2 linked regions of the Lonchura striata genome follow. The protein of the gene in region 2 interacts with the protein of the main gene of each other region in a biochemical or structural test. Links are inferred from orthologs where the notes say so. Each region holds a gene or a part of one and is shown on either strand. Other genes may lie near its edges.

Region 1 (8,520 bases), on a different chromosome or scaffold from region 2:
ACCAAGGTCACTTTAAGTAAAAAGCACAGATTATTGCTCCACACGAATCTAAGTGCCTGTGCAAGATCCTGCCATGTGTAGTCTGTGCCATGTGACAGAAAGTAAACATAATATTCCTCCTTCAATCTGCCTTTTGAAAGGCTTTATAATGGATACAATAACTTACTTGTTTTTCCAAACTGTCTTGAAAGCATGATCTACATAATATCAGACAACTTCAACACATCCACACAAGACTCAATACAACATATTGGACATGATAATACACATTCCCTAAATAAATAAAATCCCTAGTTTACCAATATTTTATGTTACATTCCATAAAATATATATGTTCCATAAAATATAATAATCTTTACTACAATGATTTCTCAGACATGAGGCTAAACAATGCAACATCATTTATCAGTTACTCTAATGAAAGGAGGTTAGCTCTATTCCAAGTAATGAAAATATTTTTCTTGTTGTATAATATGGAACTATGGAGGAACACCAAGTAGACTTTTACCTTGGTTTTCAGTTTTTTATTTTCTTCCAGCACAGCTTCATATTTTTCTTTCATCTCTGCCACTTCCAAGCGAAGTGCCTCTATTTCCGGATTCTCAGGAGCTGAAGCTCCCAGATGATGCTTCAGAAAACTGATATTTAGATGTTAAGTATTTCCTCAGTTGTATAACTACATTTTAGTTTTAACACCTGTGTTGATGTTAACACTGCAGTACACATGGTCAAAATTGCAGTAAGCCATTGTGATCACTACAGGAAAAAAGTTACCAAAATAAGAGAGCTTTTCAAATTCATAGCTATATTCCTTAAAAACAAACACACAAACACAAGATATCAGTACAAATCCTTATGTGTTACTACCTCCTTTTTTTTTCTCTTCGTAACGGCAGATGTTTTAAAGAATTAAAAAAAGTAAAGAAAAAAAGCAGCAATACCCAAAAATGGAGGCTGCTTAAAAACAGCAACAAATATGCTAGTTCCCCCCCTTCTTCATGTATTTAAAAACAAATAAAAAACAACAAAAAAAGGAAGTGTGAAGAAGCAAACTTCAGAACCCATTGCCACTGCAGGTACTCAGATCTAAAGCTGCAGGTCTACAACACTGAAATGGCCAATAACTTAGCTTCATAATTGCTGGCATACTGAAATCCCAGCCCTCTGGCATCCTGTCAGACTCTCTTAGCTTGTGAAAATGCAATCATTAGGTAAAATGCATTGAAAAAAGTCACGTTCTCAATGCAAGGCATCGAAATGAATCCATCCAGTCCACCCATGAGTCAGAAGCAATATTGTGCATAAAGTCTCAATAAATAAGTCACAGCAAAGGAAAAGGATACTCCAGTGCACTATCTGGTTTCTCTGGCTCTTCATATAAGGCTACCAACACTGCAAATAGAAAATATTCAACAATTGCAAGAAATTCATGCAACTCTAAGTTTTTTAAACACATATCAGCAGTCAGAAAGCATACATGTTGTATTTGTCCATTTAACAAGATTTTCACTTGCACACTTTGACATAGGCAACAGGTCTGCTGTATCAGAGGGGACAGAGCATTCCACCTAGTAACAGCTAAAGAGAATTTTCTTGATCCCTAACCCCACATTGTGTTCTGGCTGTTCTAGCACAGAACATAAAACATCCTGAAAAAAAATTTACATATGCCACATGCACCCTAGTACTAGCTTTTACCAGTAAGACTGAAATTCTAACTATATTGTTCATAAAACTTGTACTTAAGCTACATCTTTAAACCACAAGACATCAGCAGATTTGTAACTTCCAGCAGAAGAGCAAACCTCCATTGATAATCTACAGTTACAAAACTAAACAGCTACTACACGGCTAGGTGACACTGATAATTTTTACGGGTAGGGACTCTAATGGCCAAAACCGCCAGAGAAAAGCAGCAATACCCCGACAATTTAAATAAAAATAGCCATTTACATAGCAACATAACGGGAGACTGTCACATGAACACCCAGGAAGTTCCCAATCACAACCACTCCCTGCTTCCCCACAGGGGCCATGTGCCAGTTTCAGAAGTCTTGAGCTACACAGCCAAACTGGTTTTAAGCTAAGTACTTCCTAAGTTAAAAGCAAAATTAGTCTGCCTCACTGCTTGGAAGATTTGTTTTGCCATCCCATAGGATGGCACTGCGATTGAAAAATCAAATGGTACTCACACACCAGGCCAAGAGTCTTAGTGCAGCAGCTATTTACTTGACATCCTAGATCTGCTGCTCCCTCTTTAAACAGCATATTTTCAATATTAGCAGAATATTAATTTTTTCATTATTAACACATTTTTTGCCACATACTACTAGAAGGTTCTCAAAAAGATTTTAGGAGGATTTCAAAAATACTAAGTCACACATGTCAAGTTGAGCATCATCATTTTCTCCAGTTTGATATGGAGAGTCATTAATCCAGAACTTAGTGTCATTCATTCTAGAAAAAAAAGCACTAAGTGCTGTTATAAATGAGAATTTATTCAGCCAGATTAAAAAATAAAAATAATTTTTATTAGCGGTCAAATTCTATCTAGCCAGCCACAAGGAAAGAACAGAGCCGAGCCTGGGGTTGGCCCTGGGTGTGCCACAAGGAGTCAGCCTCAGCAGAGGTTCTCCCCTATGCCCACACACCTCCATCCTGGCACAAGCGGTTTTTTATAGGGAAAATTCTGCCTGAGGCCAAGATTTTCTTCTATTCAGAGTCCATAGGTTAATAAGATTTTCTTTTTTTGGTAATGAGGAGAAATAATTCAATGTCCGAAGTAGGTGAATCCCTGATGAGATTTTACGGGAAGGCTGCATTCACATGGATCTGTCTGAGGATTTCTATGATATCCACCTCGGGCCATTCATGCGATGATCAGCACCGATGATCAACACCTGGAGCCCAGCCATGGCCCATCTCCTGGCCGAGCCACTTGTAAATCAGTTTCCAATATACACCCAGTCTCACCTGCAAAGGGGGGGAACTAATACAACGGGCATAATCTAACAAGTATCTAATATTACATATTTCATACAAGGAATGGCGCGAATTATATTTACTACACATAACAGTGCCATCCAAGAAAAGGTATGAAACAAAGTTCTTTTAAAATAACATTTGCTGTTATTTCATCTCAAGCACTGACTTCCTCTGTAGAAAAACCTCACAAAAAGCGCCCATTGAAAGAAAATAAACGACCCAAAGGCACGCATTGAAAGTAGCACTTCGGCCGAAGGAAGAGGTCTCCAGCACACACTGGGGGAAAGGAGCAGCCTTGCCGTTCTACACGCACCTCCAGCAGCGGCCGCCCGCGCGGGGAGCGTGCGGGGCAGGGCCGGTCCCAGCGCCCGCTGCCCTCTCCCGGCGTGCGCCGCCTCGCCGCGCACCTCGGACTCCATTTCCTGGCCACGCCGCACCAAGTTCTCCAGGCGAGTTCTTCTGCCGGCCGCCTCGCCGGACTGAGGAGAAAAAGCGATCGGCGAGGCGAGGCGCGAAGCCCATGGAGAGCGGCGGGGCAGCCCGAGGGACGGCCGAGACGCTGCCGGGCGGGAGCGGGACAGCCTGAGAGGAACGAGGAACGGCACCCGCCCGCAACGCCCCGGAGCGCGCCCGCCGGCCGCGAGCCGGACACTTACCCTTGGTGAGCATGTCCAGCACTCCCGACTTCTCCAAGTACTGGCGGAACTGCTCCCGCTTGGAGTCCGCGGCCTGAGGGAGGACGCCCACACGGTCAGATCGGCGGCGCGCCCCGCCTCGACTGCGGAGGCGGCCCTTTAGCACAGGCCGGTCCCGCTCTCCGCCGCAGAGGCGGCACGAAGGGCCGAGCCGGGGTCGGCCGGCGGCCCGCCGCTCCGCGCAGCCGGCACGGAGAGCGGCACCGCGCCCACGCCGGCGCGCTCCCCCCTACCTTGTGGTGCGCCATCTGAGCCGCACGGCGCCTGCCCCGGCCGCGCGCCTGCGCCCTGCGCTTTAACGGCGCGAGCGCTTCCCCGCGGTTGCCACGGCGACGGCGCCGCGGCAGCGGCAGCGCCGGGCCCGCGCGCCGCCCGCGCTCCCCTCAGCGGGGCCGCGCTCCCCTCAGCGCCGCCCGCGCTCCCCTCAGCGGCCGCGCCGGGCCCGCGCGCCGCCCGCGCTCCCCTCAGCGGCCGCGCTCTCCTCGGCGGGGCCGCACTCCCCTCGGGGCGGCCGCGCTCCCCTCGGCGCGGTCCGCTCCCCTCGGCAGGGCCGCGCTCCCCTCAGCGCGGTCCGCTCCCCTCGGCGGGGCCGCGCTCCCCTCAGCGCCGCCCGCGCTCCCCTCGGCACCGCCCGCGCTCCCCTCAGCGGGGCCGCGCTCCCCTCAGCGCGGTCCGCTCCCCTCAGCTCGGTCCGCTCCCCTCAGCGGGGCCGCGCTCCCCTCAGCGCGGTCCGCTCCCCTCAGCGGGGCCGCGCTCCCCTCAGCGGGGCCGCGCTCCCCTCAGCGCGTTCCGCTCCCCTCGGCGCCGCCCGCGCTCCCCTCAGCGCGGTCCGCTCCCCTCGGCGGGGCCGCGCTCTCCTCGGGGCGGCCGCGCTCCCCTCGGCGCCCCCCGCGCTCCCCTCAGCGCGGTCCGCTCCCCTCGGCGCCCCCCGCGCTCCCCTCAGCGCGGTCCGCTCCCCTCGGCGCCCCCCGCGCTCCCCTCAGCGCGGTCCGCTCCCCTCAGCGCGGTCCGCTCCCCTCAGCGCCGCCCGCGCTCCCCTCAGCGGGGCCGCGCTCTCCTCGGCGGGGCCGCGCTCTCCTCGGCGGGGCCGCGCTCTCCTCGGCGGGGCCGCGCTCCCCTCAGCGGGGCCGCGCTCCCCTCAGCGCGGTCCGCTCCCCTCAGCGCGGTCCGCTCCCCCCAGCGGGGCCGCGCTCCCCTCAGCGCGGTCCGCTCCCCCCAGCGCGGTCCGCTCCCCCCAGCGGGGCCGCGCTCCCCTCAGCGCGGTCCGCTCCCCTCGGCGCGGCCTCGCCCGCCTCGGGGCGGCCTCGCCGTCCGCTGCCGCCCGAGGGGAAGCCGAGCCCGGCGTCGTGCCCCCTTTCTTGCGCGGCCCTGCCTCCTCTCCCGCTCTGCCCTGCTCCCCTGGCCGGGGACGGTTCCGGGGCTCAGCTCAGCTCCCCGCGGAGAAGGCGAGCGGGGCCGCGCCGCGGGGTCCGGGCGGAGCTGTCCTGCGGGTCGCTGGAGTTCTTTCTGGTTTTCATAGTAAGCCTTCGGGTTTGTGAAATTCAAAGTGTCTGATTAATACATTTCAGTAGCTGCAGCTGACTGAAATCACAGGAGAAAGTTGCAGCCAGCAGCGGCTGCAGAGGGTCTGTGAGGCATTGAAGAGTGGTGAAATCTTCGCGACGAAAGTCTTTTGCCCTAGCCTGTTTAAAAAAAAAAAAAAAAAGAAAAGAAACTGTTACACCTGATTATTTTTCTGAAACGCTGACAGATAAAATCTATTTATTGTAGAAATTTTTAAAAATTAAAAGAAAAAGACCAACCAAATGATCTTGCACATATGACGTTAGGGAGTTTTCATGCTTTTTTTCCATGCTCTTCCACAATGTTTGCAGTTTTCAGTGGTTACTCTTCATTTGGGAAGGTGCTGTGATTAAACAAAATGTCTGACTCATATCCAGGCATAAAAAAGTTAATAAAATTCCTCTCACTGCAGCAGAAAAATTCATTTCTAACTTGTCTTGAACAACAAAAATACAGATGTCATGTCCCATACATGAACATCTAAATGCTAACTTTCTGTTATTTAGACAGCAGGAACAGAGTGCATTAAATATGAGGCTTTTTATTATGGAGAGATTAAATGCAAAACAAGCATTAGCAGTTATTGCCCACAGGATTTTACACATCAAGAAATGCAAGAATCAAAGCCACAGCAGCAGCATGAACTTGCCTAAGTCACACTATTACAGTTATGTATGTTCCAGTATAGTATACGACCTTAAATTTTACAGTGTAAACACAATTATGTATTTATGTATACACATAGAAGTGAAAAGGAAAGAAACCTACAGCAAATAGTTTTAATAGTTCTCATGTGTATTTCTTTAATGCTGCTACAAGCAAAATAGCAGTTTAGGTTTTCTGGCTTCTTTTTTGCTAGTATTGTACAGTTTTCAGGCAATCTGAAACATGGCTGGTTGGTAAGTATAATGACAGTGCACTTTAAGAATTTCATTGTGCTGTAACATCATTATGTTATATCTCACAGATTATTTTTTTCAACAGATGAACAGTATGTCATATCTGCTAGTAAGAAATACACACAAAAAATACTAATGCATTTCAGCTGTGACCACCTCACCAAGTATTTACAGTGTTTCAGTGCTGTGCACCTCAAATAAATGTATTCCATACATGGAAAGCTTGATTACAAATGTACCATAGTATTTTGTTCATCTTTGCCCCCTTTATAATTTCAAGATGTTTCATGGAACTTCCTTTACACCATATGGACCTGAACAGCAAGTGGATAAATGTCCTAATGTTTTGTTATCCCCATTAAAAGCATAAACACAAATGCTCCTCCTAAACAGGTAGGACCTTTGTTTGATTTAAAAGCTTATCAGTATTCAGGGGAGACACAAACAGAAAATGACTAGTTTTACTCTTTGATAAACCTTTTATATGTCTTTTGACATTGTAACTCAAATCAGGAAGGTACTACCATATTTGCTTTTTTTGGTTCTCTGTTTTTGGAGTTTTTTTTCTGTTTTCCATAGTAAACCTTCTGGTTTGTGAAAATCAAAATGTCTGATTAGTAAATTTCAGTAAATTGTTTTCTGATTTTGCTATCTTATTAGTGTTATGAAAAATGTCAAAAGTAAAGCTCACAACATGTCTGGAATTCCTGATGTTTAAAAAAAATAGCGGTGTATTGAATTCTGACAGTATACTATTAGAAATTCACTTTGATTTTTCTGCTGAGGTAGTCAGTGGTGATACACTGAAAAAAAGTACCATGGAGCCAACAAATTAGTGATCTGTTTTGCAAATGCTTTTTTTCTTTGTATTTACAACAGCTTGAACTGTGGAATAAGTTTGACATTCTGCTTTTGGTCAGCTACCAAGTGTCTGTTTGAATTCTCACACTGATTAGGCAGAGACATGTTTACCAATAAATTCTTTTGAGAGTATCTTTAACCTAATTTGATTTACTGGTCTTTGTAAAAATATTGTTAGACTGTAAATTTTGTCTCCTACTTTTATTCGGTTTTAATAGTACCAGCTGTGATTTTATGCCTTTTTCCTAATATGTGGGCTGAGAGGATGTATGTTTTCCTTTTTAGCTGGAATGTAGAAGTTTATACACTGAGATCTATGCCACATTTTCATTACAAAAGAAGTAAAGAAACTGTTTAAAATTACTTAGCTACTATTCAAAGGGTTACACAGCTATGTAAACAGCTGGCTAAAGTTGAATTATTTAGCTGCACTTACACGTAGGTCTGGGTTATGTCTCTGTTCAGGAATTATCCCAGCACTGGGTAGTGCAGCTAATGGGTTAACTCACACTATATTTGAAGATCAGTGGGGGCACGCCTACTGCTGGCATTACTTGACAGTGACTGTTGCCTAGACAGAGACAAAAGCTTAGGACTATTCCAATTTCTGCTTTGTGTAGATTCTGAGCTCACCACCCCCATGGAATCAGAAGTGTCTGGTCGGCTGGAATTTTTTCCATCAGCATTGTAAGGAATTTGGGCTTTGTTTACACTGAAACTGCTCTGTCTTCTGTCCCTGTTCTTTGGAAGAGAATTTGTTAGTGCTCCTGTGTCCTCAACCATTGTCTGTCGTCTAAAACCGGCATTAGGAAAAGTTGTACCAGGTTGCAATGAAGTTTGACCTGGCAACTCAGCAAAGCTTCTCAAGTACATGTTTGAGGCAGTATCTGCATTCTGAGTATCAACAAGAAAATGTTTCTTTTCAGCCTCTTCTTGTGCATCATGTGTCTCAGTCCAAAGCTCACCAAGAAAGCCTTCGTTATTATTTGTGCTAGCATTTTGAGTCTGATTGTCTAAAGCATTTGTAGCTGGCCTCTTCTTTGGAGATTTATTTTCCTGATTGCAATGGGTGTAATTGCTGCTGCTTTCTGCACGGTTATTTTGCACAGACTGAAACATAGAAGGAGAATTTAAAACTGGGTAGAGCATAGTGTCAGTTTGCTTTTCCATCAAAAAGGTATAACTGCTAAGAGCACAAGGAAGTGTTTTCTGAGGGGTGGTGGATATTCCCAAGGAAGAGTGTGGTATCGCAGAATATTTCTTAGATTTGTTTATGTAGAAATGGTCAGAGTCATCTTTGTTTTTATTCTGCTCACAGAGTCCCATTTTAATTTTCCGGAATCCTAAGTGGATAATTTCTAGAATATTTAAAAGCAATGATACAGTTGCTATTGATTGCATAAATAATATAAACACTGTCTTTTCTGTTGGTCTAGATACAAAGCAGTCAACTGTGTTTGGACATGGGTCTCTCTGACATTTATAAAGAGGATCTAAGTGAAAACCATAAAGAAGAT
Region 2 (9,093 bases):
TGTTAACTACTCCTCCCTCCTGCTGGTGCATTCCATCATTTAAAGCAGAAGCTGTGTCCGACACACTCACCCTGTGTGTGATCTCACTGCTTCCATCCGGCCTTGGCTTTCCCAGGGTTTCTGTGATCCCGGTCCTGGTCGTGCTGTCAAACACAGGGTGTGAGCCTGGAGAGCCCGCTGGCCCCAGCCACAGGCCGGTGGGAGCTGTGGGTCAGAGTGGTGGAAACCTGGTTTCAGATTATTGTTCACCCCATTCTCCCCTCATGTATGTACTTCCCCCTTTTTTTTGAAGTAAAATGTAAATTGAACCTGCTCCCTGTTGTTCGAAGGTCATTCCGGGGGCTGCAGGGTGAAGGTGGTGGATGCTGATGTCTTCTCTCTGTTGGAACAAGTTTGGGTGGGTTCTTTGGGGCTGAACCAAGGGATCCAGCCGAGTTACAGAGCCCAACACCCCACTTTTTCTGGGGAAAATTAAGATTCCAGTTAAAATCCAGTGTCTGGGGTTTATCTTCCCAGACTGGTGCTGCTCTGGGTGTGGGATCCTGCATAGAGCTGAGATTGCCTGCGGTGAGTGAGGAAGAAGAAAGCCCATTGTCATGAATTTCATGTCACTTCAATAGGATTATCATAACTGAATAATAAATCAGAATATTTCTTTTTAAAATGTAAATTTAATATTGTAATAAAACAGCTGCTTGGTCTTTAAAGAACAATTCAGTATAAATTGTCTATTTGAGCTTTTTTTGCCTAGAAGCTTGAGGTTTCAGCTGTCAGGCAACTTCTCTGACAAATGATTAATCACATCTATTTTTCTTTTAGGGGGATACATTACTTCCCCATTAAAAGTGTATAAGTACTTATATTCTGACTCTGTGAATCGTAAAAGGATGTAAAGACACATTAAAGTGTGACTGCATTGACGACTTCTGAGACATCTTATTGTTCCTGCATGCTGAACAGACCTGCAGACACCTGGACAGGTGATTCCTGTTGTGCTCTTGGTGCCAGCTGGGGCTGCACGAGTGGAAGAGCAGCAGTGTGTGAACTGTTAAACTTCATTTTCTTTACTTCAGAGGAAATGTTCCTTAGTTCTGAGTTGGAGCTGGAGTGGGATCCAGGCAGGAGCCAGCTCCTGAGCAGCACCTGCTCAATCACTGCTGTCAAAAACATTCCTGAAGTTCCTCTTTTGAACAGTGGAGCCTCCCTGCTACTTGAGATCACAAATACACTGCAGCCACAGGGAAGGAATGAGAGTTTTATTTTAGTTACGGATGCAGTTGGAAAAACTGTGTTTAGGGGGAAAATTGCACTGTTGAAGCAGGCAATTCTGTCTAAGGAAATAGCTTCAAAATTCCTGCCCAGCTGATGCTGAAATATTTTACAAAGGAAAATGAAGTAAAAATGCAGAACTTACTTTAACTTGGGGAATTAATTCTGTTCTGGAGCTAAAAACTGCACAAGGTGGAAAAGAAAATACTTCATGGCTGAGCCCAGGATGGCTCAGAGCTGTTGGTGAAGGTGCCCCAAGCACTGTCCCAGGTGAGATACCCGTTCCCTTAGGTCCTCTCATAGCACTTGGTCACTTATGCCATTACCAAATGTGTTTTACGTGTCTGTCCTCTCCTTAAGCCCTCTAAGGACAGGAGACAGAACACCTGAACTCAGCTCTAAGGTGAGGATGAGCCACCTGTGTCACAGAACTGCCAAAGCCAACCTCCTGCAGCTGTGCAGCGCTGGGTCCCCTCAGAGCAGGAGTGCCTGTCCCACTACCCGAGTTAGGATGTTCAGGTGTGAATCCTTTGTGCCTTGCAACAGGGGCTCTTCAGCTGGCTGCTCCTCTGGTTAACAAGCTCTCAAATGAAAATCACTCCCAGGATTGTGTGGGTGGAAAGGGTACAAAAACAACTCTCATGATGTGACTTGTTCAAATAAGTATGGGTTTATTCTTCAAAGCAATCATGAAAAAAACCTCTGACAATGGGATCTTTTGGGATGTTTAAATAACATTGCTATAAATAGCCGGGAGTAACTATATGCTCAAGAATATCCCCCTTGAAGTATTAAATAGTGGTTTTTTTTTTTTTTCCTCACAGCATATTGTCCTTCAGACAAACTGGAAATATCTGTTCTGCTGCTTCCACCCCCAGTTAGTTACTGGGAGAGCAAGGTCTGCCCAGGAGAGCTGGCTGTGCAGCAAGACAGTGCAAATGCTGAAGAGCTGCTCATGCAGCCCTCCTCCTCCTCCTCCTCCTCAGGCTGTGAGGACACGGGGAACGAAACCACAAGAGGTTTCAGCATGTGGTCCCCATGTGTGTCTGATACCAGCTCTGATTGTGACCTTGACAAATCCCTGAACATTTGACCACCAGGCACTGTAAACGCTGGAATTGCCCAATGCTAACAGCCAAGGGTGGCCGTCGGTTGGGAATTCTTAACGGACAAACTTCTGAGATCCTCAGATTAGGAACATCAAAAGGGCAAAGTCTCAACACCAATGGATTTTTCCACTTCATGTGTGACACAATTTGTAGTTTTTAAGTGGGTATTTAGTATTAATTTCTGACTGCTCTGAACAAAAAGGTAGAGGCAAATCAGGAACTTTTCACAGAAAAATACTTACAGAAATCAGTGATTTAGGAAGGACAATCCTGCTCATGACTGTGGTTTCTCCAAGTTACTCATTTACACTCTCACAAACCAACCGCCTGCTGCAGGCACGTGTCTGCAGCAACGGGCAGGTTTGACTTCAGCCAGCCTGGTCAGCACAGCATTGAACTCCCCCGTGCCTGCAGGTTTGTGCAGCCTTGGCTGGTGCACAGCGTGCTGCTCGAAGCCAGGTGAGCTCTGGGAACAGCAGCGGCTCTGCAGGATGAGCCCAGGGTGCTGCAAAGGGAGGAGGCTGACTGGGGGTGGCTGCCAGATGAACGGGAAGCTCAGGCTTTCAAGCTGGGAGGCTTGAAGTGCTTTCCTGCACTGCTGCAGCTACCGCTGGCTACCCCCAGGAACTGCTCTGGTTTAAAACTCACTCTAGCTTGGCTGCTCCCTGTTCCTGCCCCAAAGCATGAACCACCGCTCCCTGGCCTACTGCTTCCCTCTGACTTTGCTGCTGAAGTTCTAAAAGATGAAAAAGCAGCTGAAGTTGTTCCACTGGGAAATCCTGAGCCACTTGTCCCCACACAAACAGGACCAGTGACAAACGCAGCAGTCTCCTCAGAAGCCCTGAAGCAGCACAGTATCCTGTGCCTTCTGACCCACCTGGCTGCACGGGAAGGAGCAGCACCCACACCTGGCTGCTGCCACTCCGTGTGCTCCCACACAACCCTGCTGGATTATTTGGAGAGGACACATCATTCCCAAACAACTCTTCCCACGTAGACCCAGGGTGGATGCCAAACCCCTCCGGGTGTCACAGGAACACAGAATTTCCAGTGATGCCCCACAAAGGTCAGCACAGACTCTTCCCAAGACCTGGCTGCTACTTGCGTTGCTCCTGCCCTGAGACCTTTCCCTCTCTCACCACCCTCCTCTGGAAACTCCCAACCACCTTAGAAGAGCATCGATGATTTCCCAGTCTCCTCCAAGTGCCTTGCCCAGAGCTGTCCTGGAATCAGCTGTCACACAGCCCACTGAGCGTGGCAGTGCTAGCACTGACCAGCCATGCTTCTCTACTGTGCATCCCGCAAAAACCTCAGAGCTTCCTTGGGACAGAGAAATCAGTTACACACTGGATCCTGTGCAAAGATGCCAAAAGCCCTGGGGGGAAATGTCACAAGTCTTACACAATAACATGAAAAGTCTCTATTAATTCCTACTTGGTGCTGCTGCAGCTGAGCAATAACTCCGCCTGAACACAGATTTGCATTTCTCATTGCAGTTCCAATACATTGCTGTAGCTTCTAGCTAATATTTGCTCACTAATGTGTCACCACCAGCCAAACCTTTGCATAAAACTGTCTAAAGCTCAGATTCACCTGCTTGCGTGTCTGGCTGTTAGCAGGCAATGAGGCGCGGTGGATCGGGGCCGAGCCCGAAGGCCCCGGCCGAACAGAGCCGGGCAGGCGGAGGCGCTGCAGCGGCCTCCAGCAGCAGCGACAGGAGCCATTCCCAGCCACTTGTGGAGGTGCCAAGGCCCGACCGGGGCACCCGGCAGGACCCCCGGGGCCAGGCAGGGAGCGGGGCTCCGGGGACCGCGGGAACAACCATCGGGGCAGCGGCCGGGCGAGCCTGGGATGAGGACACGGCAGCACACAGGGCCTGTGCGCACCCGTCCGGAGGGGGAGCAGGGCAGGAAGGCGGCAAGGGCGGACCCTGCCCGGGCCTCGGCCGCGGGAACGATCCGGGCCGGGCCGGGCCCGCCCCGCACCGGCCCCGGAGCGCTCCCGGCCCCAGAACGATGGATCCCGGCCCTAGAACGATCCATCCCGGCCCTAGAACGATCCATCCCGGCCCCAGAACGATGGATCCCGGCCCGGCGCGCTCCCGGCCCCAGAACGATGGATCCCGGCCCCAGAATGATGGATCCCGGCCCCAGAACGATGAATCCCGGCCCGGAGCGCTCCCGGCCCCAGAACGATGGATCCCGGCCCCGGAGCGCTCCCGGCCCCAGAACGATGGATCGCGGCCCCAGAACGATGGATCCCGGCCCTAGAACGATGGATCCCGGCCCCAGAACGATGGATCCCGGCCCCAGAATGATGGATCCCGGCCCCAGAACGATGGATCCCGGCCCCGGAGCGCTCCCGGCCCTAGAACGATCGATCCCGGCCCCAGAACGATGGATCCCGCCCGGCGCGCTCCCGGCGCCGCCGCGGCTCCCTCAGGCGCGGGGCGGGGCCGCGCGCGCGCAGTCTCGCGGGGCCGCGCGCTCTCGCGAGAGGGGCCGGGCGGGGCGGGGCGCTGTCGCTGCATGTCCGAGCCGGGCGGCCCGGCCGGGGCACGTGTGGCGGCACCGGCACCGCTCCGGACCGGGCCCGGCACCGCTCCGGGCTGCGCCGCCGCGCCGGGACTCCCGTAAGTACCGCCCTGGGCCGCCGCCCGCGCGCTGGCGGAGCGGCGCGGCCCGCGGCTGTCAGCGGCGGCGCCGCGGGGCGCGCGGAGGGCGCTGCCGGCCGTGCCGGGCCCGGTCCCGGTCCCGCCGCGCGGGCCGTGGCGGGAGCGCTCCCGCGCCGCCCAAGGTCAGCGCTCTTCCCCGCCGGGACCCGGGGCCGTGGGCTGGGGCCGGCCGCCTGTGTCGGGGCGCGGGGCTGCCCCGGGCCCTGCTCGCGGCTCGGTGCTCGGCTCGGTGCTCCGCTCGGTGCTCCGCCCGGTGCTCCGCCCGGTGCTCCGCCCGCGGTGTCCCGGGCGGCAGCGGCCGGGCCGGGTCGGTTCGCCCGTTCTGACGAGAGCGCTGCGGCCGCGGCTGCTGGAGCGAGGCCGGAGATGGCCCGGGCGGCGCGGAGCCGCGGTGAAGATTAAAGCACCTTGGGCTGTCTGGTCTGGCGAGCCTGCCTGTGTTATGGTAATGGCCGTAAAAAGTGTTATTTGCAAAACTTCTGATGTGCTGTAGTGACTCCTTTTGTTCCTAAGCCAGCAGGGAGTACAGGTGGGAGCAATGGAATTAAATTATATTGCTGCTGAGGAAGTGATGTCGTGGTCTTGCTTTCCTGGGAGAATATTGTTGTTTGCTCTCTCTTTCTTTTCCTCCTGATTGAAGCAAGGCAGATCTAAGTTACTCCTACTTCAGAAATGGGCAACTTGATCTGTGCCTGGCCGAGTTCTTTACTGCAGTCCAGTAATTCCATGAGGCAATGACCACAGAATGGACAGGCATCTCAGCAAAGGCATCCTCTTCATGGATGTTATCCATAATAGCAGGAAATGGCACCAAAAGCTGCCTTTGGCTACAGCCCATCTGTTGGGAAAAGTCAGGGGCTGTGGGATGGCAGAAATCGGGCCTTCCTGTGTTTCAGGGTTGTGCTGCACCTGCCGAGCGTTATCGGGCCCTGTGGACTTTGTCTCAGGTGCAGGGAAGTGCTGGTTGCTGCCGAAGGTGTAGCGCTGGGGTAGCTTTGCTGGTGGCTGTGAATGATCTACCGAGCACAGCCCCGGAGCGAGCGGAGCTCCCACACGTGCGGTGTGGGAGTGCACCGGAGCTCTCCGGGAGCGCAGCGCGGCTCCCGGGCACCGGAGCTCTCCGGGAGTGCACCGGAGCTCTCCGGGAGCACTGAACTGAGCTGGCTCCTCTGCTGCGATCACCGTGACCCAGTTCTGGTCATTTAACCTCCTCATTCGTTAATGGGCTGCTTGTGTAAGGGGTGAAGGACTGCAGGCACCTGCTGACCTGCTGTACCTGTCTAGTGATGCCCATGGACCTGAGATTCTGGAAAAGGGCAGCACAGCCTCGTTGTGTGTATCTCATTCTCCATTCCCTGGTGTGCCTGTATGTGCTGCACAGTGCAAATGCACTGGAGGAAATGACAGCTCTCAAGTGTGAGGAGGGAGAAGCCTGTGGAGCTTGAGCAGTGCTTGAAGTAGGATGGAATCCACTGGAATCCATTCATGCATTGATTCCAGTCCTGGTCTTGCTCACCTGACAGTCCTTCAGCTCCTGCTTAAGTGTCTCATTGAGCTCTTGAAGGACTTTTAAAAGCTCTTATGGGGGTGTACACAGGAGAGTTTTTCAGCACAGTTGTAGCAGTGTTTTCTCCAACAGGCTGTTTGCTCTCAGACATGAAGCTAAAGATATGTTGGGGCTGCAGGGTCTGTGTGGATGGCGCTGCAGGATCTCAGTTGTTGTGTGTTAGTAGCTGTTCTGTACTTGGGAGTGCTCTCCTTATTCAGCCTTGGTTTAGAAACCCATCCTAGGAACCAGATTCTGTCTTGAATGCTGGAGATGCTTTGAGATACTAATACTGGAAATTATGGACTGCCTAGGAAGCCTTGGCTTTAACCTAGACACTTCACAACGCCTGAAATGAGGGAAGAGGAATTTCCTCACTGCCCAGGACATGAGGTGACAGGACCTGCAGCTCAGATCCACCACATTTTGTCTGTTCCCAGAGGTGCAGATTGCCTGTGGAGTTAAAAGTGAAGGGAGTTTGCTGCAGGAGTGCAGCCAAAGCTCTCAGAGCCAGCAGCAGTTTGATTTGTGATGGCTGAGACTCTCTCTTCACTTTGAAAACATTGCAGGCTGGCTGCAGGGGGATGGAGAGCAAGTGCACTTCTGCAGGAGCAGTTATCTGAAGAGCATAATGCTTTTAAAGCAACATAGCCCACTTATCTGTGCCTCTCCTTGTTCATGTGCACTTAACTCATGTGAAAAAATGATTTAAGGTATTTCTAGCGTCCAGGGAGCCTGTAATAGGATTGGGGCTGGTATCCCAGTTTCCCCTAGCAACATCTAGAGCTAATAAAAAACATTAATTGCAGCATTAATTACTTAAAATTGTTTCATGTTTCAGATCTAATGATTAGCCTTTTTAGAATACTGATTTCTAACTGCAGTGCTTCTGTGGAGCTCTTAATGCAAATGGCTGGTTAGACTTCATGAAGTGATGATCAACTTCAGGCAGCCATGCTCAGATATTCAGAAAAAGCTATTTTATTCATCAGGTGTTTAATATTTCCTGGAAATTGAAGCTGTTGCATTTGTTTCTCATGGGGATTGCTAGAAGGGGAGATATTTGCATGTCCCAAACTGCTTTTTCAAATGTTGTCTTCAGGTGGTTCCCTGTACATTTTTTTTATTGTCCACTATGTGGATTCTGGTCCTGCATTTTGTCATCTGGAAGCTAACTGGATTTTTGGGCCCTGTAATTGCTACTAGCAGAGATGAGTATTTCATAAAAGACCATTTAAAATCATACTTAAGCAAACAAATCACTGCTGCAGATCAGTCCTGGTCGGGGTTGCTTTTGACCTCTGCTGCCACCTGGCACTGAGGATGAGAAACTTGCCATGTGCTGTGGCTGGTTTTTGACTCTGGGTATAAATAGCAGTGGTTCCTGGCAAAAGTTCATGATTTTCATGTGCCTCTGGTATCAGAGGCCTTAGCTTTGCCTGGGGATGAATCTGGGAATTGGGAACTCTCTCTGGTCAGGTTGGAGTGTGTGTTCCACTCCTCACAGCCCTTGTTGGCGCACACAAGTGTCCTCATGCTCATTCACATGAGTGGCTCCCAGTGAAGCCTTTGCTGTTCCCTCCCAGCACAGGTGAGTACAGGCCATCCTCCTCACTGATGTTTGCTGTCCTCCCTCTCTGAGCGCTTCTGCCATTTCTCCTCAAACTGAGCCTTGGCCACGAGGCTTCCAACCAGACTCCAGTGCTTTTTGCTTTTCCTAAGCCTAGTCCAGCTCTTGTTTTGGGAAGCTGTTTGTCAAGGTCTCGTGGCTGTGCCCAGCAAACATCCTGTGAGCGGAGCTGCTGCTGCTCCCCAGATACCTGGGGACCTGTTTGGTCTTTGCTGCTCTTGGCTCCTGCAGCCCTATCAGTGTGTTTGCTGTAAACCTCCCCATTCTGTCTCCTTGAAAATTCAAGCTTGTTTTTTGTCTCCTGTGCAGAGTATATTGGAAGCCCTTCGTTAGTTTAGTCTCTGTTTTTTGGAAATTGATAGAGATGCCAGGCGTCTGACTCAGGTGGCTGCTTTTAAATTTTCACTTATAAACTGTACATGTAGCGGCCACTACACTGTGTTACCCATAGCAAGGGCTGCATTGGCTTCCTTATGTAGAAGCAAACACAAAAGGCTGATTATTGGATGTGTTTATTCAAAACTCTGAAAAATAACTTGTTCTGTTCTCTAACATGAGTGAAAATGCAGAGAGAGAATGAAAGATAAAGCTTTTCCCAAATCCAGACTTTTGTAATGTGTTGATAGTGCAGTAAAGCAGCTGTTATCTTTATAACCTGTGGGGGTACAGGTAAAGTGGTGCAGAAGCAGTTTTTGAAGCTTGCTGAACTGTCTGAAAGACTTTTCTGAGAAAGTGAAGAAAAAGCTCTCTTGTCTCCCTCTGCAGTAGAGGATTCACAGGGAGACACTAACTTGGGTGAGAAAACTATAAATAATGAAACAACTGGAGCAGGGAGGTAACAAGATATCAAGAGCAGTACAGAGCT

What was found.
Region 1: the proteins of AKAP1 (region 2) and MYCBP form a complex in vitro, tested with the Homo sapiens proteins (2 studies listed by BioGRID). The link is inferred for Lonchura striata from reciprocal best matches to the Homo sapiens genes AKAP1 and MYCBP.

Annotation. Positions count from the first base shown.
Region 1 is NC_134628.1:5,084,717-5,093,236, forward strand, and holds the start of MYCBP (C-Myc-binding protein), read right to left. Parts: upstream 3,991-8,520; 5' UTR 3,929-3,990; coding exon 3,914-3,928; intron 3,715-3,913; coding exon 3,642-3,714; intron 1,393-3,641; coding exon 1,344-1,392; intron 639-1,343; coding exon 509-638; intron 1-508. Other genes in the region: GJA9 (gap junction alpha-9 protein), read right to left, coding at 7,514-8,520. UniProt on the Homo sapiens protein: May control the transcriptional activity of MYC. Stimulates the activation of E box-dependent transcription by MYC.
Region 2 is NC_134622.1:10,975,060-10,984,152, reverse strand, and holds the start of AKAP1 (A-kinase anchor protein 1, mitochondrial), read left to right. Parts: upstream 1-4,900; 5' UTR 4,901-5,010; intron 5,011-5,390; exon of another isoform or gene 5,391-5,497; intron 5,498-7,955; exon of another isoform or gene 7,956-8,189; intron 8,190-9,093.